Xenopus tropicalis: one gene and its partner. The protein of the gene in region 2 interacts with the protein of the main gene of each other region in a biochemical or structural test. Links are inferred from orthologs where the notes say so. Each region holds a gene or a part of one and is shown on either strand. Other genes may lie near its edges.

The links. The genes of interacting proteins can lie anywhere in the genome.
Region 1: of the proteins of akt1 (region 2) and akt1s1, one has a biochemical effect on the other in vitro, tested with the Homo sapiens proteins (2 studies listed by BioGRID). The link is inferred for Xenopus tropicalis from reciprocal best matches to the Homo sapiens genes AKT1 and AKT1S1.

Annotation. Positions count from the first base shown.
Region 1 is NC_030683.2:111,139,892-111,150,398, forward strand, and holds the start of akt1s1 (proline-rich AKT1 substrate 1), read right to left. Parts: upstream 5,661-10,507; 5' UTR 5,602-5,660; intron 1,997-5,601; 5' UTR 1,976-1,996; coding exon 1,501-1,975; intron 1-1,500. UniProt on the Homo sapiens protein: Negative regulator of the mechanistic target of rapamycin complex 1 (mTORC1), an evolutionarily conserved central nutrient sensor that stimulates anabolic reactions and macromolecule biosynthesis to promote cellular biomass generation and growth.
Region 2 is NC_030684.2:99,686,300-99,696,786, forward strand, and holds part of akt1 (RAC-alpha serine/threonine-protein kinase), read right to left. Parts: intron 8,598-10,487; coding exon 8,486-8,597; intron 6,991-8,485; coding exon 6,840-6,990; intron 6,536-6,839; coding exon 6,404-6,535; intron 6,034-6,403; coding exon 5,968-6,033; intron 5,044-5,967; coding exon 4,975-5,043; intron 3,340-4,974; coding exon 3,214-3,339; intron 1,768-3,213; coding exon 1,639-1,767; intron 1-1,638. UniProt on the Homo sapiens protein: AKT1 is one of 3 closely related serine/threonine-protein kinases (AKT1, AKT2 and AKT3) called the AKT kinase, and which regulate many processes including metabolism, proliferation, cell survival, growth and angiogenesis.

The sequences.
Region 1 (10,507 bases), on a different chromosome or scaffold from region 2:
TTTTTCCCCCCAACAACAATGTATAGTCCTTTCCAAAATTAAACACGAACCCCAAATTCATTTTTATATTAAACACATCCAAACCCATTATAAGGGCATTTAAAAATCCATGCTGTCAATCATATTGCCTACCCTGCCTCTATGCATTAGGCACAGAGGTGGCGCAGACAGTCACTAACTTTCCATTCAGCACTCACATCCCCCTCCCTCTTCACCATCAAAATGTGTAGCCAAAGCATGAGCATGGGCATCAGGTCCCCCATTCTGGCACATACACAAGATTTTGGGGTGATACAAAGCTTGCCTTAACAGTGTCCACAAAATGGCAGCTGCCTGCTTGCTGTGATTGTGTAGTTCCAAGAGTAAAGGAAACAAGGTTTATATCATTTATATAATGTAAGTGAAGTACACACACACACACAGGGATGGTTCTGGCAGTATTGGTCTCTATACCTGGGGAGGCTTTTTGCCATTATAATGATCAATGTAGACTGCTATAACATGTAGCACAGTTAGGAGCCTTGGGACAATAAAGGTGCCTTGAAGGGACCCATCCATCCCCAACCCTTAGGTTGGGGACAGGTTTCAAATGAACTAAGAGAATCACTGGGGGAGGGTACAAATAGGTTTGCCATACCCTGGTTCCATTCTCCTCCTATTCAAAAACGTGCACTGTAAATGCCTAGGGGTACTTCCAACCAGAGCAGGTTGCTGCCATCTTTTCCCAGGATTCCCCCGTGAGTTCAGGCTTGCCCCATGCACAGTACAAAAACCCTTTGCAGAAGTATTGTACTACACATGCAGTTTATTTAACACTGTGGGTCTGAGACAGCACTGAATTGTGTACGCCGCTGGTCTCATAAAAGCTATATAGAAATTGGTAGACCTGTAGTAAGTTGCATCAGTCCTACAGCACAGAGTTGGGTAAAAACAGTGTTAGTGTGACACCAGTGTATCAAGCAAGGGGAGCCTCACACCTCCTGCAGGACTGCACAGCAGGATTAATTCTGAATTGTTGCATGATACAATTTCAGCCAATAACGGCAACCATCCTCAAAAGTCCAAAATATATTTTAGCGATTGCAGGGGTAAAAGTATAAAGTAGAGGGGGGGGTAGAAGACCCCCCCCCCCCCCCATTTAAAAACTGCAGAGTTGGAAGGTGGCGGCACATAATTCAAACTATAACTATAATGAAGACCAGCAGCCCCCCGACCAGTCCAATAAATAGTGACCATCTATGGCTGCCCCTCTGGCATTTGCCAGAAATCCCAGATTGCCAAGCCGGGCCTGCTCTGATGCATACCTTTAGGGTAAGTCTACCTCCATAGTAAGTAGTTTAAAACTAAATAGATTTCCTGCCAAGTCTAGAACTGAACTAAGGGTTTCAGCACAGCAAGGCCCAAGAGCGAACCACTGAAGCACAGTGCCACAAATAGCGATATGCAGAGTTAGGTGTCGTGGCTCTACATTCCAAATAAAAACCAGAGTATCCTTCTTACCTGTCGAGTCACTAGGAATATGTTCCCCAGCCTTTTCCAAATGCTTGTTGTAGTCATAGTCCTCTTCATCTTCTTGGGCCTCTAGTTTGGACATAATGTCTGGCATTTGGTTTTGGATTATGGGAATGGGCTTGTCATTGTCCTCAACTGAAGAAAACCCTTCTCGGCCGTAAATAGAAGGGTAGCTCTTTGAGTATGAGTTCTGTCTGCCCGATGAGGTCTCATTTGTTGTGTAGATGGGCATAGGGCTGGTAAAGGCAGTGGTTTTGTGCACTACAGAAATGTCATCAAGGTAGCGTTGAGTGGCCTCCAAGAGCATCCCACTCCCGTGAATAGAATATTCGAAGGAGGAAAGCAGTTTGGGTTTGTAAGCAGTTATTAGCACTATATCATTTCCAGTCAGTCTGCGGTATTTTTCTGCAGCATTAACCAACACCTCCCAAGCCTCCTGGTGATTGTCAGCCATGTCAGTCATGTTGGTGAGATGTGTCTAACCCTATTCATGGAACAAAGGGTAGAAATCAGTTAGTCCAATGGACGGAAGGATAAAATAATCCTACTGTTGAATTTATAAAGGGACATTTGACAACTAAAATGCTTGTGGGAATTGATGACTTACCTTTAGGGCAGCACCTGTCCCCCCACCCCCTAAGCCAATTATATATGACTGGCAGAAGTAGGAGTGAAAGGACTTTAGGTCATGTGACTTTACAGTTTTAGACTATCAAATGCGACAATATGTATGTAATATGCATATTAAAGAATGATTTGGTATCCGGCTGAATCCATAAGTTTGTGGGTTTGGTTCGACCCCGTTTTAAAGGATGTCAATCCAAAAAATAATTTTTGCCAATAAAAGAAAATTCTAAGCAGTTTTCCAATATGAATTTATTAAAAATGTTTAGTAATTTAAACTGTATTTAGAAATTGCTATGTAATTGCTATTGAAGGCAGCATTTGCTGAACTCCTGGTTTTTACTTTTTAAACAATGTTGCAAAGGGTAGTCTCCTCTAGCCAGAGAAGTCTGTCAGTCTGTTGGTTTGTGTTACATTGTTTCCAAACTCAGAGAAAAGGACAAACATTACTTTTAATAGCAGTAATATAATCACAAAGATTAAAAGCCATTACAAATTTGTAATGAATGTATATTGCAAAGTTGCTTAATATTAAGTTTTCTTTTATTAGACAAAATTATTTTTGGTGACCCTGGCTTTTCCCTTGTTACTCTCAGGGCAGTGATCCCCAACCAGTGGGATGTGAGCAACATGTTACGCACCATACCATTGGATGTTGCTCCCAAGGGTCTCAAAGCAGGTGCTTATTTTTGAATAAGAGGTTAGCGGCAAGCTTTGACTGCATAAAAACCCAGTGTAATTGCCCAACAGAACCTCCTGCTGCCAGACCATGTAGGGGCTACCAATAGCTAATCACAGCCTATAATTGGCACCCCAGAAACTTGTGTGCTTTTGTTGTAAGGTTGGGGACCCCTGCCTATAAGGATAATCTGGAGAGAGATTGCCATATTTTTCCGCCCACAGATTAAGCACTGTATAATCAAAATGTATTCAGAAATCATTTGCATTGCTGAATATGCTCCCATGCCTCACCTAGTGGTAGACAGGAGAATAGCACCCAAGCAGGAGAAACCCAAGTACGGTTTTGCTATTGCAGTGCACTGAGATGGCTGCCTACACTAATATTACAGCTTAAAAAAAAAAAAAAAAAAAAGATTGGTTAAAGAATAACATTTTAAATGGTAGAGTGAATTATTTGCAATGTACACAGTGTAATTTAGTAATAAAGACTATCCTACCATAAAAACTAATACCATAAAAATCATGACATAATCCCTTTAACACACTTACAAGCAGGTGGGTACAGGGAAAGATTCAGTCACATCTACATTGTGTTATGAAATTTTACAGGCAAGTTACTCCATAATGATAGATAAATGCTGGACTTAATGAGTCACAGGCTATCCTTTGTATGAGATTCCTCAATAAAAATGCTGGCTGCATGGAAGTTACATGGGTAGCACTGCAATAGTGTTTGTGTCCCTAAAAGCCCGTCACTTTGCAAGTCAATGCTGTAGAATCTACTGAAGTACCAACTTTTATCAAACCACTGGGAATCAAGAAGAATCTGCAAAGGCTGGCAGTCAAAAGGTTAATGTACTTTCATTGCGGTTACAAAGTAGCACATGATTGCTTTGGGAATCCTACTGCTTTCTTCTTTCTTTTCTGGAAGAAAAGGGCCCAGCTCTGCCCTAGGAATCGGACTTCAGCCACCCCCTTCCTGACCCTCAAGAGCGATGGTTACCCCCCCTTCTGTCTCGGCTCCACTGCCAGATTTAACCAAGAAAATATTTAAATTTTAAAATAAAATTTTTTTTTTTATATATAGGCATCAAAGGACACCCCTAGACAAGGGCCTTCGAGTGCCTATATAGAAAACATGGCCCTGTGTGCTGTATACATAAATAGCCCATTCTATAAGATACCAAGAGTTAACTTAAAGATGAACTACAATGTGCCCAACAGACCAAAATAGATTATGCATTGTTCTAAACAAGCATTTCCCACAATCCCCTGCACACATGGTGTCAATAAGAAAGGAATCTCAGTGCAATGCATTGTGGGTTATGTAGTTCATGCATGAGGTCAGTAAGTTGCGAGTTGTTACAATTTGAAACATCCATGTTTTAGTCCCTCCTCCCCTGCCAGGATTTCAAATGAGGCAGAAAAATGAATGGTTTTGCTGCTGGATTTCAGCATATAAAAATAGTATTTATGCATACTTTAGGAAGGAACAGATTACAGGGATAGGTATATTAGAGTTTTGTTGTTGTGTGGGGCTCTTTAACAAATTTTGGTTTAGAAACTGGATTTCCTTTTAAATATTCCAAACAAGGAATTAAAATAATGCCACCCCTGCTGAGAAAATAATAATCCCCTTATCTACCCAATGTTGCAAACAATAACTGCAATGGCACCCACCTACCAACACACACACTGAAAGGATACAATTACCATCAGTCTGCAGATATGGAGCGTACTGGCGGTTTCTAAGGGGACAGACATGGAGCGTACTGGCGGTTTCTAAGGGGACAGACATGGAGCGTACTGGCGGTTTCTAAGGGGACAGACATGGAGCGTACTGGCGGTTTCTAAGGGGGACAGACAAGGAGCGTACTGGCGGTTTCTAAGGGGACAGACATGGAGCGTACTGGCGGTTTCTAAGGGGACAGACATGGAGCGTACTGGCGGTTTCTAAGGGGACAGACATGGAGCGTACTGGCGGTTTCTAAGGGGACAGACATGGAGCGTACTGGCGGTTTCTAAGGGGACAGACATGGAGCGTACTGGCGGTTTCTAAGGGGACAGACATGGAGCGTACTGGCGGTTTCTAAGGGGACAGACATGGAGCGTACTGGCGGTTTCTAAGGGGACAGACATGGAGCGTACTGGCGGTTTCTAAGGGGACAGACATGGAGCGTACTGGCGGTTTCTAAGGGGACAGACATGGAGCGTACTGGCGGTTTCTTGACACCAGGGCCTGCTACATTGTCCCTCCTTAGCACACTCCAAGTGACATTAGGCACAGGAGGCACAGGTGTAGGGGGCCTGGAAAACCCACAGGCCAGAGAGCCATAAAGCCCCACTTTAACCCTTTGTCTATGGCAAGTTCCAGATGTGCACCCTGCTCTCTATGAATGTCCCAGCATGCATTGCCAACAGCCTGGTTATTAGAAGCCATGCAAAAAGGAGCAAATCCCTCAACTCCCAGGTAACTAACAAAACCCAGTAATTTTGTGCAGAAAAACAAAATAACAAAAACTTTCCAATCTGTAATACAGGCAGAAGCCGCAGTGCAGAGTAGAGCAACAGCCTTAAAAGCAATTTACAAATCAATTTAAAATCATTGAAACGTTTCAAGAGTGCAAACCGGCTGAGCACAACCCACAGGCTTATAACGTTTATGCAGCCAGCCCAAGCTAGCAGAGCTCCGACTACTGCTCCCAGCATCCCCTCCCAATCGCTGCCTACCCGTGCAATGTTGGACGCAGACAGACAGCCGCAAGCCGCACAAACAAGATTTACCTGCAGCCCTCACTGAGCCGAACCAGAGCCCCCCGGGTCGCACAGCTACAGACGTCACCGCCACCAGCCTCCACCACTCGCCGCCTCCCCCATTTATATCGGCAAGGCCACGCCCCCTCTCCCCAACATGTTGGCTGCCAACTCAGCTTGCCCAAACCTAGGAACAATAGGCAAGCTCCCAGTGAGGGTCATCATACTGCCCCACACACCGACACACCGGCGGGACTTTACTCGCACACGTACTTCTCATTACATTATCAATATCATTTCTCTAGCCTAAAGCTCGTACGTGTATGCGTGCCCCACGTGATGAACTTTAGCTCCGCCCAGAGGGAGGGGCCGGGTTAGTTAGCTGAAATAGTACCGTGGTGTTACTTCAGAAAGGGGCGGGGTTCTAGTATGCGAGGGGAGTTGTTTGTTAGTGCATTGAGCAGTGTTGTTTGGGGCATTTATTGATAGTCCTTGGTTGTGTGTGTATGTATGTATATCTTTATTTATAAAGCGCTACTTATGTACGCAGTGCTGTACAGTAGAATACATAAATACAAACGGTGTTAAAGATAATGGATAAATACAAAGTACAACAATAAATACAAATAAATACAAGGTACAGTTGCAATAAGAGTCAGAAACAAGATGAACGAGGTCCCTGCCCCGTAGAGCTTACAATCTATATGTTCGCGGATATGGCTCGCTTTGGGGGTTAATGACGGGGGGGCGACTGCGGGGACCGTGCTAAATGTCATAGCGCGCAATATGTTGGGGCAGCCATGGTTTTGAGAGTAGTAGCGACAATAGCCTTTGTGAGGCACCTGTGTCTGTGCTTTAGTAGGGAGAGATGGTGCCTATAGTAGCAGTGGGGGGATAATAGCCTCTGGGAAGGGACTGTGGCTGTGGGATAGCAGGTATAGTAGGGAGAGATGGTGCCTATAGTAGCAGTGGGGGATAATAGCCTCTGGGAAGGGACTGTGGCTGTGGGATAGCAGGTATAGTAGGGAGAGATGGTGCCTATAGTAGCAGTGGGATAATAGCCTCTGGGAAGGGACTGGGGCTGTGGGATAGCAGGTATAGTAGGGAGAGATGGTGCCTATAGTAGCAGTGGGATAATAGCCTCTGGGAAGGGACTGTGGCTGTGGGATAGCAGGTATAGTAGGGAGAGATGGTGCCTATAGTAGCAGTGGGGGATAATAGCCTCTGGGAAGGGACTGTGGCTGTGGGATAGCAGGTATAGTAGGGAGAGATGGTGCCTATAGTAGCAGTGGGGGGATAATAGCCTCTGGGAAGGGACTGTGGCTGTGGGATAGCAGGTATAGTAGGGAGAGATGGTGCCTATAGTAGCAGTGGGGGATAATAGCCTCTGGGAAGGGACTGTGGCTGTGGGATAGCAGGTATAGTAGGGAGAGATGGTGCCTATAGTAGCAGTGGGGGGTTAATAGCCTCTGGGAAGGGACTGTGGCTGTGGGATAGCAGGTATAGTAGGGAGAGATGGTGCCTATAGTAGCAGTGGGGGGATAATAGCCTCTGGGAAGGGACTGTGGCTGTGGGATAGCAGGTATAGTAGGGAGAGATGGTGCCTATAGTAGCAGTGGGGGGATAATAGCCTCTGGGAAGGGACTGGGGCTGTGGGATAGCAGGTATAGTAGGGAGAGATGGTGCCTTTAGTAGCAGTGGGGGGATAATAGCCTCTGGGAAGGGACTGTGGCTGTGGGATAGCAGGTATAGTAGGGAGAGATGGTGCCTATAGTAGCAGTGGGATAATAGCCTCTGGGAAGGGACTGTGGCTGTGGGATAGCAGGTATAGTAGGGAGAGATGGTGCCTATAGTAGCAGTGGGGGATAATAGCCTCTAGGAAGGGACTGTGGCTGTGGGATAGCAGGTATAGTAGGGAGAGATGGTGCCTATAGTAGCAGTGGGGGGATAATAGCCTCTGGGAAGGGACTGTGGCTGTGGGATAGCAGGTATAGTAGGGAGAGATGGTGCCTATAGTAGCAGTGGGGGGATAATAGCCTCTGGGAAGGGACTGTGGCTGTGGGATAGCAGGTATAGTAGGGAGAGATGGTGCCTATAGTAGCAGTGGGGGGATAATAGCCTCTGGGAAGGGACTGGGGCTGTGGGATAGCAGGTATAGTAGGGAGAGATGGTGCCTTTAGTAGCAGTGGGGGGATAATAGCCTCTGGGAAGGGACTGGGGCTGTGGGATAGCAGGTATAGTAGGGAGAGATGGTGCCTATAGTAGCAGTGGGATAATAGCCTCTGGGAAGGGACTGTGGCTGTGGGATAGCAGGTATAGTAGGGAGAGATGGTGCCTATAGTAGCAGTGGGATAATAGCCTCTGGGAAGGGACTGTGGCTGTGGGATAGCAGGTATAGTAGGGAGAGATGGTGCCTATAGTAGCAGTGGGGGATAATAGCCTCTGGGAAGGGACTGTGGCTGTGGGATAGCAGGTATAGTAGGGAGAGATGGTGCCTATAGTAGCAGTGGGATAATAGCCTCTGGGAAGGGACTGTGGCTGTGGGATAGCAGGTATAGTAGGGAGAGATGGTGCCTATAGTAGCAGTGGGTGATAATAGCCTCTAGGAAGGGACTGTGGCTGTGGGATAGCAGATATAGTAGGGAGAGATGGTGCCTATAGTAGCAGTGGGGGATAATAGCCTCTGGGAAGGGACTGTGGCTGTGGGATAGCAGGTATAGTAGGGAGAGATGGTGCCTATAGTAGCCATAGCCACTGTGGCTGTGGGATAGTTTTTTACACAAAAAAAAAACTTCTAATTCGGAAAGCCCAGGCATTATGGATTATAGATCCTATTTTGTACACAAAATATTCACTTTCATATTTTTAATTTGTACTTAGTAACCACTCAGGCCCCTCTGCTTAGCAGTGGTATTACCTGAATATATCACTAGCAATATGTGTTACCTGTTTCTCAATAATAAAGGCCTAGGAAATTTAAATGATGCCAACGCACGGCCATGTGGTTGAAACACAGTTATCCCGTCAGAAGGGCTTTTGCCTCAGATGTAAAATAACCATTATTTCTCATCAGCCCCAGCCCTGAAAAATGAATATGACATCAGAGGAATGAGAAGAGAAGCATATTAGGGATTCAGGTTCCGCCCACCTGTTCTGTTAGTATAAGGTTGAAGCAGGCTAAATGTGTACATTTTGCAGTTTTATACTATTTCTTCCTGAACACCGTCCTTTGTACCCAGCTGCAGTGTCTTGGCATGTGAATAAGAATACATTCCAATGTGCTGTACCTACAAATGCTTCTGACTGCCATCAAGACTGACATTTTGCAAATACACAGAAAGCAGCTAACTGAGCCAATTTAAATAATTAGGCTAATATTTTTAATTACAACTTACGAATAGGATTACAAAAATATATATATAGAATCCACATCCTGCAGGGCTAATTTGTAATTAATTTAAATGCATGCTGCAGTTTGAACTGATTTACATGCAACTAAAAGAATTGCTAATTAGCCCTGCAGAATGTAGATTTAATATGTGGCCAGTATTAAAGGGGTCCGGTAGCAACCTTAGATACAACCACATTACTTATGACATTTCTATCTGGGTTGTTAATTATAGCAGATTCAAGCTGGGCTGCACAGGCAACTAAAACCTGCTAGGTGTACCCTCCAGACTGATTTGTTAGGTATTGGCCCATGTGTGGGTCTCTTCCAAAGACCTGCCTGACCAATATTTGGCTATAAGTTGGGCAGATATCTGTTTAAAGGAAACACGTTTTAAAAACCAATCAGTTAATAGAGCTTCTCCAGCAGAATCCTGCATTGTAATCTGTTTTTCAAAAACACAAACAGATTTTTTTATATTTAGCCATATTCTTCATTTCCCAGGGTGCCACAGCCATGTGACTTGTGCTCTGATAAACTTCAGTCACACTTTACTGCTGTGCTGCAAGTTGGAGTGATATCACCCCCACCTCCCTTCCCAGCAGCCAATCAGCAGAACAATGGTAAGGCAGCAAGATAGCAGCTCCCAGTAGGTTTCAGAATAGCACGCAATAGTAAGAAATCCAAGTCCGGCCTGGGACTCCTCCAGTTACATGGGAGTAGGAGAAACAATAGGTTACCTGAAAGCAGTTCTAATGTGTAGCGCTGGCTCCTTCTGAAAGCTCAGACTCAGGCACAATGCACTGAGATGGCACCTACACACCAATATTACAACTAAAAATACATTTGTTGGTTCAAGAATAACATTTTAAATGACAGAGTGAATTATTTGCTACAGTGGCTTGCAAAAGTATTCGGCCCCCTTGAACTTTTCCACATTTTGTCACATTACAGCCACAAACATGAATCAATTTTATTGGAATTCCACGTGAAAGACCAATACAAAGTGGTGTACATGTGAGAAGTGGAACGAAAATCATACATGATTCCAAACATTTTTTACTAATAAATAACTGCAAAGTGGGGTATGCGTAATTATTCAGCCCCCTTTGGTCTGAGTGCAGTCAGTTGCCCATAGACATTGCCTGATGAGTGCTAATGACTAAATAGAGTGCACCTGTGTGTAATCTAATGTCAGTACAAATACAGCTGCTCTGTGACGGCCTCAGAGGGTGTCTAAGAGAATATTGGGAGCAACAACACCATGAAGTCCAAAGAACACACCAGACAGGCCAGGGATAAAATTATTGAGAAATTTAAAGCAGGCTTAGGCTACAAAAAGATTTCCAAAGCCTTGAACATCCCACGGAGCACTGTTCAAGCGATCATTCAGAAATGGAAGGAGTATGGCACAAGTGTAAACCTATCAAGACAAGGCCGTCCCCCTAAACTCACAGGCCGAACAAGGAGAGCGCTGATCAGAAATGCAGCCAAGAGGCCCATGGTGACTCTGGGGGAGCTGCAGAGACCTACAGCTCAGGTGGGGGA
Region 2 (10,487 bases):
CTCAGAAGACCTATGACTCACCATAGGCAATTTGTTTTTGGGGACAAAATCATTACTACCAAAAGAGATGTAACCATTGAAAATTCACTTCTGTTTTGACTTACGATAATCTCAGGTTGCTATTAGATGCAAAACTTTCTTGCAGAATGTAAACACTCTAAGAACATTGCAAAAATTCTCTGTTGAGGGGCAAGCTGCATCTCTGTTGCTAAGCTTTGCACATTGGGAGGAGAGTATGAGTAAAAATGCTAAATCTTAGGGAACCTAAGCAATTATACCCTAATCTTGCTACCTGCAAATCTGCAATTAGAAGCCAGCAGTTATACTTTCCTGCTTTTCAATTACACACACACAAACACATAACAACACAGATGTTGTTACTTTAATAGGGTTTACTATTATATAATGTTGTATCACACTTGCACAAAATGTCTTAAGCTTTATACAGCAGGTCTGGAAGTAAGCAAGCATTTGTATCTGGAACCAAACATTATTATATTTTTACCATTCATTTAATACAGCAATCAAATCTCAAATATCTATGTCTGCATTCCAAACTTACATGGTGTTCAAGGGGTGTCATTTTTAAAGGGAACCAAATGTATTCCCCTTTTAAACATCTATTACTTTTGTCTGCAACACAAATCAGACAATGTAAGTATTCTTTTGCAGCCTTAAATGAATAGTTCAGTGTAAAAATGAAACTGGGTAAAATAGATAGACTGTGCAAAATAAAATAAAGGTTGGCATGGACAGATGTCAAACATAATGGTCCTGCGCGCTCACAAACTAACTGAACAGTTATGTCTCATGTGCTTCCCCCTGAAGTTGTGGACTAACTAAGAGGTTAGAGAGCTGAAATCAGAAAGTTGTGTTGTGGCTATTATGTTAGACATTGGCTCGCTCCAGCCTTTATAGATTACATTTTTGCCTAACTAACTATAAAATAAATATATTTTATTTTGCTCAGCCTATCTATTTTACCCAGTTTCATTTTTAAACTGAATTATAAGCTATAGTTTTCAGCAAAGCTATTACAAGTGGCACTGCACCCAAATGAGATGCTTGGGTGTGCTGAAAGTGGGTCAGAGTTGTGGGTATATCTGGTTGCATTTTGGGACTGCAGCAAAAAAAAGTCCCTTTCTTTCACAGAAATTGCTGCCCTATGTATTATAAGTTCATCCAATGCATGTAAGGAAATAGTGGTATAAGAGGAATAGGAGCCATTGGACAGCTGTACCTGGGAAGCAGTACAGTGGCCCTAAGAACGGTTATAACAAGGATCACTTTGCTTGTAGCTTAAGACCAGACCACTGAATTGTGTGTCTGTGCCCTGAAGGCAGACTAAGTCATAGGGTTTAAACTAGAAGGATACGGATAGGTTGAAGGGAACAAACAACTGAACTGGGGAACTACAAGACAACAAAATACAGAATATCTTGATATGTTTTAGTTAATATCTGCTGCTAATCTCTCTTTTTTGGCCTTACCTCCACTTATATCTCCAATGACATTAGTCCATATCAACACCTTTTCCCATGTATACAGCCTACCCCAGCAATGCAGACTGTATGATGGTTGGTTCACAATAAACCCCATATAAAAAAAGAAGCGTATAAACAACAAACAGTTACATACCTCAGGAGCGAGATATTCTGGTGTGCCACAGAACGTCTTCATGGTTGCTCCGTCTTTTATTCCTTCCTTGCACAGGCCAAAATCAGTTATCTTTATGTGTCCATCTTTGTCCAGCATTAGATTTTCCAACTTTAAAAAATAACAGCAAAGAAACCAGTTGCTTTACAGACAGAACAGGACTAAGGGTGGCCATACATGGGCAGATTTCAGCTGCCAATTTGGGTCCTTAAGACCGAGTCGGCAGCTTATCTGCCCATGTATGGGGCCCTCCGACCAATATCTGGGCAAAAACTGGACAGATGTTGATCAGACATGCTTAATTTTTCATCAGATCAGGGACTGCATCGGCTCATTGCAGTCCTTGCTCCGACTTTTCCTATCCCCTTCATTGCAATGTGATGGTTTGGCCCTAGGGCACTGGCACAATATTGCCCCCCCAAGGGCATAACAGGGGAATGATTTGCTTGTTTGGCAACCTCACCAAACAAGCAAATCTTACGGTGTATGGCCACCTTAAGAGGCTGCATTTGCATTCTGAACACAAGCAGATGTTTCTTCTTCCCACTCTCTTATCTTGCATCTGTCTAGTACATCTAGCCTTAGATAACCCAGCCGGTATGGTTTCATGGAGATTGTCAATACACAAAGGAGCATGTTCTTTTGGCCACATCAAACTGCTGAAAATGTGAAGAGGAAGTGTTTTATTGCTAGTGTGTAACAGGTAAAGCAAGCGATCCCTGCAGCAGTTACCAACAGTTACACGCTGTTGTGAAAACACTCACTCATCACAAGCAGAAAACATTGGCTGCAGATGCTGCGTTACTTGCCAAGGCAAAGAATAGAGGTCATTCTTAAAAGGGAAATAAGTTTAAAAGGTTTTAGTTTTGCCTGCATAAATAAACCAAACTTTAAATCTTTAAATGTTTGCTTTATATTATTATGATTTATTTTTTTTATAATGCACCACAGCAACATTTAAACATCATTCACATCAGTGCCTGCCTCAACCACACATTCACACACACTGGGCAATATTATGAGAAGCCAGTTAACCTTTCTGTATGTTTTTGGATAGTGCTAAGAAATCTGAGCACCCCACCTTGGATAGCCACACACATACATGGGGTGAACATACAAACTAACTTGAGGATAGTGCCCTGACTAGAATCAAACCTAGGACCCCAGTGCTAGAACCAGAAAGTGACTACGCAATCACATGACAAGCATGGGAACAAGCTTTTTTTTTTTTTTTTTTGCTTGGAAGCATGGGAACAAGCCATGCATATATACATATATATGGTAAGTGACTGCAATGCTAGACTATAGGAGGGCGTTTGGACGTTTTTTAGCTACTAAAAAATGTAGTAGTTAAAGCTTCCCAAAAAGCCCTCTGGTTTTACTCATACCTCTCATTTTGCCAACACTCCATCCAATTACCTGTATGCCAATTAATGGATGGTCTTTTGACATAGCCAGGGACCTGAAGATTTAGCAATGGCTTTGTCCTTATTAATTTGTGTGTTAATATGAAAGGGTAAAAAGCTTCAACAACTCATAAGCACTGAGCACACTTACCTTTAAGTCTCTGTAAACTACATTTTTCTCAGAATGAAGATAATCTAAAGCAGAAACAATCTCTGCCCCATAAAACCGGGCACGATCTTCAGAGAATATACGTTCTCTTGATAAGTGGAAGAATAACTAGAGAAAAAAGAAAACTATTGAATCTTCTAATAAATTAACCCTTTTCCTCTGTTAATTTTAAACACAGAGTATTCTTGTCCCATTGTACTGTGGGCAGCATGAGGATCTGATAGGCTGAAGTACTGTTAACATTTGTAGGAGTCTATTGGAACATATGATTTACAAGCACAAACGTGTGCTCTGGGGGTGTTTGGTATCCGAGACCTAAGGCCCTATGACCCACAGTGAGATTAGAGATGCCCACAGTGAGCCCATGAAAAATCCTCAATACCATGGAAGACTAATCTCTCTGAAATGCCTTTCCACCAGCAATAATATGAATCGCTGGTGGGAAGGCATACAGATCATTAAAGGAACAGTAACATCAAAAAATTAAAGTGTTTTAAAGTAATTAAAATATAATGTGCTGTTGCTCTGCAAAAAACTGGTGTTTTTGCTACAGAAAAGCTACTATATAAATAAGCTGCTGTGTAGCCATGGGGGCAGCCATTCAAGCTGGAAAAAAGGCACAGTTTACATAGCAGATAACTAGTAGATAAGCCCCATATAATGGGGGTTTATCTGTTATCTGCTAAGTAACCTGTGCCTTTTCTCCTTTGAATGGCTGCCCCCATGGCTACACAGCAGCTTACTTATATAAACTATAGTAGTCTTTCTGAGGCAAACACACCAGTTGTAGCAATGGAGGGCAACAGTACATTATATTGCTATTACTTGTATACACTTTATTTTTTTGGTGTTACTGTTCCTTTAAGTTGCCAACATTCCCTCACAAGGAAACTTTGGCCAATTTCAGTAAACCTATGCAACGCATATGCCTTTCCACTGGTGATTTACTGGGGCCAAACGATCGAATTATAACGACTGGAATAGGTGCAGTCGGTTCAGGGCAACACGGAGCAGTTTCTTGGCCTGTGTATAAGCACAGGCCGATAAACTATCCCTCCTCTCCGATCTGATCTATGGGGTGTCTGCACCCAGAGACACTGCCTCGCCTGGGTACAGACACACAGAGCTGATCTGGGTGCAGTGTCTCTAGTTGCAGACAAACCATAGCGCAGATAGGGGTGAAGGGGCAGTTTCTTAGTCTGTACCATAAAAATATGAAGAAATAAAGGAGGGGGAGAAAAAGACAGCACTGCAGTTTTATAGCAGTGGATTAAATACATGTACAACATGATTATTGATTGGCTTTCTGTTTTATAGCACCGGCAGGATGGTGGTTAATAATATACAATATAATAATAATATAATAACACATTTATATTACTGTCAAATCTATGGCACATAGGGGGTGAACTTCATGCTGATGTAATGAAAATACCCGCTCCCCTCTGTGAGTCACTTACCATCAACATCAATATGAAGCATAGCCCTGCTTGAGTAAACATTACCCAAAAATGTTCGCCATTATGGTTTCTGGCGATAACTGCAGCTCTGAGCTGATCTGCTGCACTTCCCAGTACAAAACCCCTTGGCGGCTTTGTGCACCAAAACTGACCTTCTTTTGCCTCATATGAAAAATGGCCCAGTATCAGCACATATCAGACGATTCCCCCAATGCACCAACTTCAGTGCAGAGTAGGAAATAATAGAAATGGCAATAGAAAGATAGATTTACTCAGTACTAACCTCTCCTCCATTGGCATACTCCATGACAAAACATAAGCGATCATGTGTCTGAAAGGAATATTTCAGTGCCTACAAGAAATTAAAGTTGAGTAACCAACCGTCTTCTGAACTTTATAAATTGGTGCCAAATTAAACAAACTGACCCTGCAAAAGCTGCACTACGCAAGCCCAACACCCATCATACCCATGAGATATCACAGAGGGGAAAGCCTCAGGGTCAGCCATTAAAGGAACAATAAATTCAGAGGAACGGACTGAAAACATTAAAATATAATACATATTTACTATATTGCCACAGCAATAGCAGCAAGTTAAATGTAGGATGCTGTTTTAAAAATTATGGATAATCTGTTACAGCTTCCATACTGGTTTCTCCATAGGCCAGAAAAACAAATTATTAGTAAACAGCATTCATTTTTATGTCTACAAGGACTGCAGTTGTTGTGGCTGCAGTCGAAAGGTAAAAATCTTACTTGCTTACCTTTTAACTTTAATCGCTTACCTTTTACCCCGGGCTGGTGCTCCTATTAGGAGAAGCCACATAAGCCCAGGGAAGCTGCAGCAAGTGTTTCCTCTTACTTCTTTCTTCTGAATCCTGGGGCCGGCGCAAAGACAGAAGAAGGAAGGAAACACTCCTTCTTCTCACAGGAGCACTAGCCCAGGGTAAAAGGTAAGCAATTAAAGTCTCTGGGGGTGGCTTACATTTTGGCACCCCCCAGTGACTTAGTCTTTCCTTCTCCTTTAAAAGCTGCTGTGTAGCTATGGGGGCAACCATTCAAGTTGAAATTGGGCTATAGGCTATATAGTAGTTAACAAATGAGCTCAATTAAATACAATGGTTCTAGTTCTTATCCAGGGCTATCAAATAGCCATAAAACACACCCATAATTATGGTGGTATCTTATGAAACCAACTTACAAGATATTTACATACATTTTCCATGGTAACTTTATTATTAATGCAAAAAACACAATGTTTCTATTTAAAACTTACTGTTAGGAAGGGATGCCTAGAATTCTGCAGGACGCGGTTTTCTGTTAGCGTGTGAGCTACTTCATCCTGAAAAAAAGAAACATTTAAGGTACAGAATACTCATTCTAGAGCAGATTTCACCAAGCTGCTGACTGGTGGACTGGAATTTATCAATTCATTAGGCAAGCAGCCACTCTTATATAACAAGTGTGTTTTATCTTCATAAAATAATATATCCATGTTGCTTCAATTTAGTGGTGTCCTGCTACTGAATTTGCCATGGACACTGCATACCTCAAACATTTTTTTTTATTTAAAAATAAATAAATAAATGAATGAAAGATCAAAGACAAGCACTGTCTCGAGGAATGAGAATAAGAGCTGATACAAGAAAGTGAATGCTATAACCATTCCGGGGAGAGAGAGGGAATTCCTGGAGAAATTCCGGGTCACTTACCTTTGCAACAATAACTTCTTTTTTTAAAATTTTCATAGCGTAATATCTTCCTGTTGCTTTCTCTTTGACTAAAATAACTTTCCCAAATGTTCCTTTCCCCAAAAGCTTGAGATACTCAAATTCATTCATTGTCTGTTGAGATTAAATAAATGTATTTGTAATTCAACACTCTGTTAAATGGTACCAATTCAGATAAAGCAAGGCCAATTTACTGATCTAATAACATAATATAACCATCAGTTTTATAGCTGTATGACATCCTTGCATACAATATTAGTCACATTTGGATAGGGAATTCTGTGCTTGGTGGGGCCACTGAAAGACAGCGGAGTTACTAGGATAACTTGTCTGGCTCCATTGTTGATAAATATAGTGCCATTTAATAAAAAAGCCCTTACTTACAAACCTGTACATTTTACATTAAAATGACACTTACTACTTTATGTTTTGGTTTCGAATGAGAAACTTCCATTTCCTCGGCTCCAGAGTTATCGCTTGGGGAGTCGCCAGACCGAACCTCCATCATTTCTTCTTCCTGTTTCTTAAGGTTGTCGGCTACATGTTGTATAACCTGAATCCATTCTTCCCTTCAATGAAACAATGAAAAAATACACATGCATTGCTGGAGAAGTGTGAGTAGAGTGGGGCTTATTGACCAACATATGGACAGTAACACCGTTGTTTACCTTTACCTTGACAGCTGCAGGTAGAATAATTAAAGTAAAATACTGAATAGTTGGCATAGGTCACTTCCCCATGTTGGTAAATAAGCCAGTGAGTCTGATGTGATGTTCAAGGAAGGAGAACTCATACTTTGAAATGCGTTTATCCTGATCATACGCTTATACTTCCATCCCATCTGACCCATAGGAGCATATTTATTATGTATCAGTGGTTTTTTTTTTTTTTTTTAACAAAACAATTATAACCCTACTGCTCAGTAAGAATATAACATTAGTGATTTTGTCACATTTGCTTTTTTCATTCCATGTGCTCTAATAACACTGGCATGTTCATCTGCTTTGGTCAGTGTGTCCAACATCAAATTGCCACATCTTCATGCATTTTGTTTTGTTGATTTAAAAAAAAAAAAAAAAAAACACATTCTTTTTGAGCTGGAAAGAAATGCTGACAACTATTGACTTTAATGCATTTTGTGAAATGTTGATCATCTTCACATCACTGTGCCATAGCATAGTTGTGCAAGTCTTCTCCTTTTTTGAATAGTCAGGTAGTATGTTTGTTTATTACAACATTGTGCCAAGCCACAGTCCCCAATTAAAATAACTGTGCCAGATACCCACTGAGGAACAGGTAACTGACACAATTCACTTGTACATTTGTTGTAGATAGTCTTACCCCTTTACTGGAATAAAATACTGGTCTTCCTATATTTTTTTATCTTTCTTCCCAAAATACCAACTATTTCAATTCATTCAATTGATATCATTCATCCCTATCAACAAGAATGGTGAGGAACTCAGAAATAAACTAGGTCTTGATTTATTATTCCTGTGTTCTGTATATGTACACATTCCTGGGGGTACTGGCAAAAGGGATGAGCCAACATGCAGTGCCACAATACATACCAACCAAGAGACAGAGGGGGACCCCCAGAGGGGCATCTCTGAAGGACGCCTAGAGCAGGGTGACCAGACCACTTAAATATTTAGGGACATGACTAGAAAATCAAGCTAGCAGGGTTGAACTGATTTTAGTTTAATTTAAATGCAATCAGTTATTTATTAGAAATGTCCCTGAATTTTCAATCGATCTAATGGAGCTGCCCTGAGATGCTGCCGCCATTTAAAAACTTGAAATTAAGCTCTTTTTTGCCGCCCCTGGTAACTTTGGGGATGCTGGCGCCTGAGGCGAGTTTTTCAACTCCCCTCATGGCAGCAGGGGCAGCTCAGAGTTAAATGTTGAAAAGTCCAACTTTGCTGTGTGTTGCAGATCTGAGCAACAAAGGACACAGCTACACTGTTCCTTTCCAGAGAAATGATGTATTTCACAACAGCTGGATTAACGGGCAGTATTAAATATGCACAGCCGTGTTTGAATGGCAATATGAGTAGAACATACCGCTCCTCAGGAGAATCCACATGAAATGTTCTTTCAATTACTGTGGTCCACTGGAGGCACCGAATGATAAATGTGTTTGGTTTTGGTCGTTCTGTCTTCATCAGCTGACATTCTATCACATACAAGGGGAGAGAGGGATGCCTCATAAGCCTCTTTAAACACTCATTTGTCTTGATTTTACCCAGCACACACAAGTAATCATCCACAAATTCTGCAAAAGTACATCTTTAAAGGGATATTATCCTACAATAATAATCACACAGAAATGTAACAAATCAGAATATGTTGGGCAGTTTACTGTTAGTCAGGAGATTACATTATGATTATATTGTAAGTTTACTGTAAATCTGGTATCATAAACATTAAATTATATAGTGTCATATTTATTATACATTATTCACATGGGCACTTGCCTAGTGGTTTAGTGCCTTAAGTTTTTTAAATTGTAAAATACAAAATTATAAAACTCCCATGTGAATATACAAAACGCTTGGAGCTGTAAATGTTATCCTCTGCCAACAGATCTGCTGCATAGGCTCCATTTGTGATCACATCACAAGTACAGGGCCAAACAGGCGGATCAGGCCAAAATTGCCCACCACTTGGGTAGGCAAACTGAGCAAAGATCCACCCATTTCTAAACCTTCCCAAATGAGCAGATCTGCCTGTGTAAGTCATCTTCTGTCATCCAAGTCATAATTATTATTATTATTATTTATATAGCGCCATCAATTTACACAGCGCTTTACAGAATACAAAAAGACAATGTGTAAGTGTAAGTCATCTTCTGTCATCCAAGTCATAATTATTATTATTATTATTTATATAGCGCCATCAATTTACACAGCGCTTTACAGAATACAAAAGACAGAACAGTTAACATGTACATATAAACAATTCACAAAAATGGTTTGCAGTTACATTGGATGAGGATTGGAGACACTAGGGGGAGGGCCCTGCTCGCAAGAGCTTACATTCTAAAAGGGAGGGCTGAGATATAAGGTCAGGGTAACGCATAAAGAGACAAGCCTGCTGGGTTTTCCAACATTTTTACATCAATATTAGTATTAATAATTGAATAATACAACAATCATATTCTGACAAAAATATTCTTTTAGAATTAACCCCTTTCTGACCGGGATGTTGTAGGCTTGGCTTTATATTTTGCAGTCACAAAAAGGTTAATAAGATACATACAAACAAATGACAGAACAAATGATTTTCCTTTTCCCAGAAGTGAAGGCATACTGGCAATACAGCTGTAATTATCTGAAATATGTTGTGCCTGACACTCAGCAGTGTAAAACAATGTTACTCTGGTGTCCTTTTTAATTTCAAGTACATTAAAACTAATCATTTTTCTATCTTGAGGCACTGAGGATCACTCAATTACACATTATATATAAACTGTGATTAATGTTGCAGGAAACAACCTGCCTTATGTTCTTATACAGAAACATGGGACAGAGAGCTTCAACTCGCTTTTCTTTCAAATTACAGCTCCCCATCATCCTCTGCCAGGCTACAGCAACCAAGGGATAGAGTGATTCTACCACAGCTACGAGGCTACAGAATAGAGATGAATACAGAACTATGCTACAGCAACCCATCAGCAGATAGTTTCCTGGCATGCTTTTTGAAGGAAAGCACCTGATTGATTGCCGGAAAAAAACTTTTCCACCTCTAGGGGTGTACAGATCCAAAAATGCTGAGCCTTTTGTAAGGCCCACCTACAACATGTTAAACGCTTTAGTAACACCATACTTTCCTCCAAATGTCCTCATTTGTTTACATGTAATATTTAGAAAGAACTAACTTTGCATTTATAAATAAATGTATTTCCTTTAAGTTTGGCTTTGAGATAATAAGGTATGAATATGGCTTATCTAAACAGGCTTGGGCAACCTGTAGTCCTCAAGATGTAGCTGAACTGCAACTCCTGGAAAGCCAATAATCTTTAGTTGGATCCAAGGACAATGGTACAAGATCTTTCATCAATGAT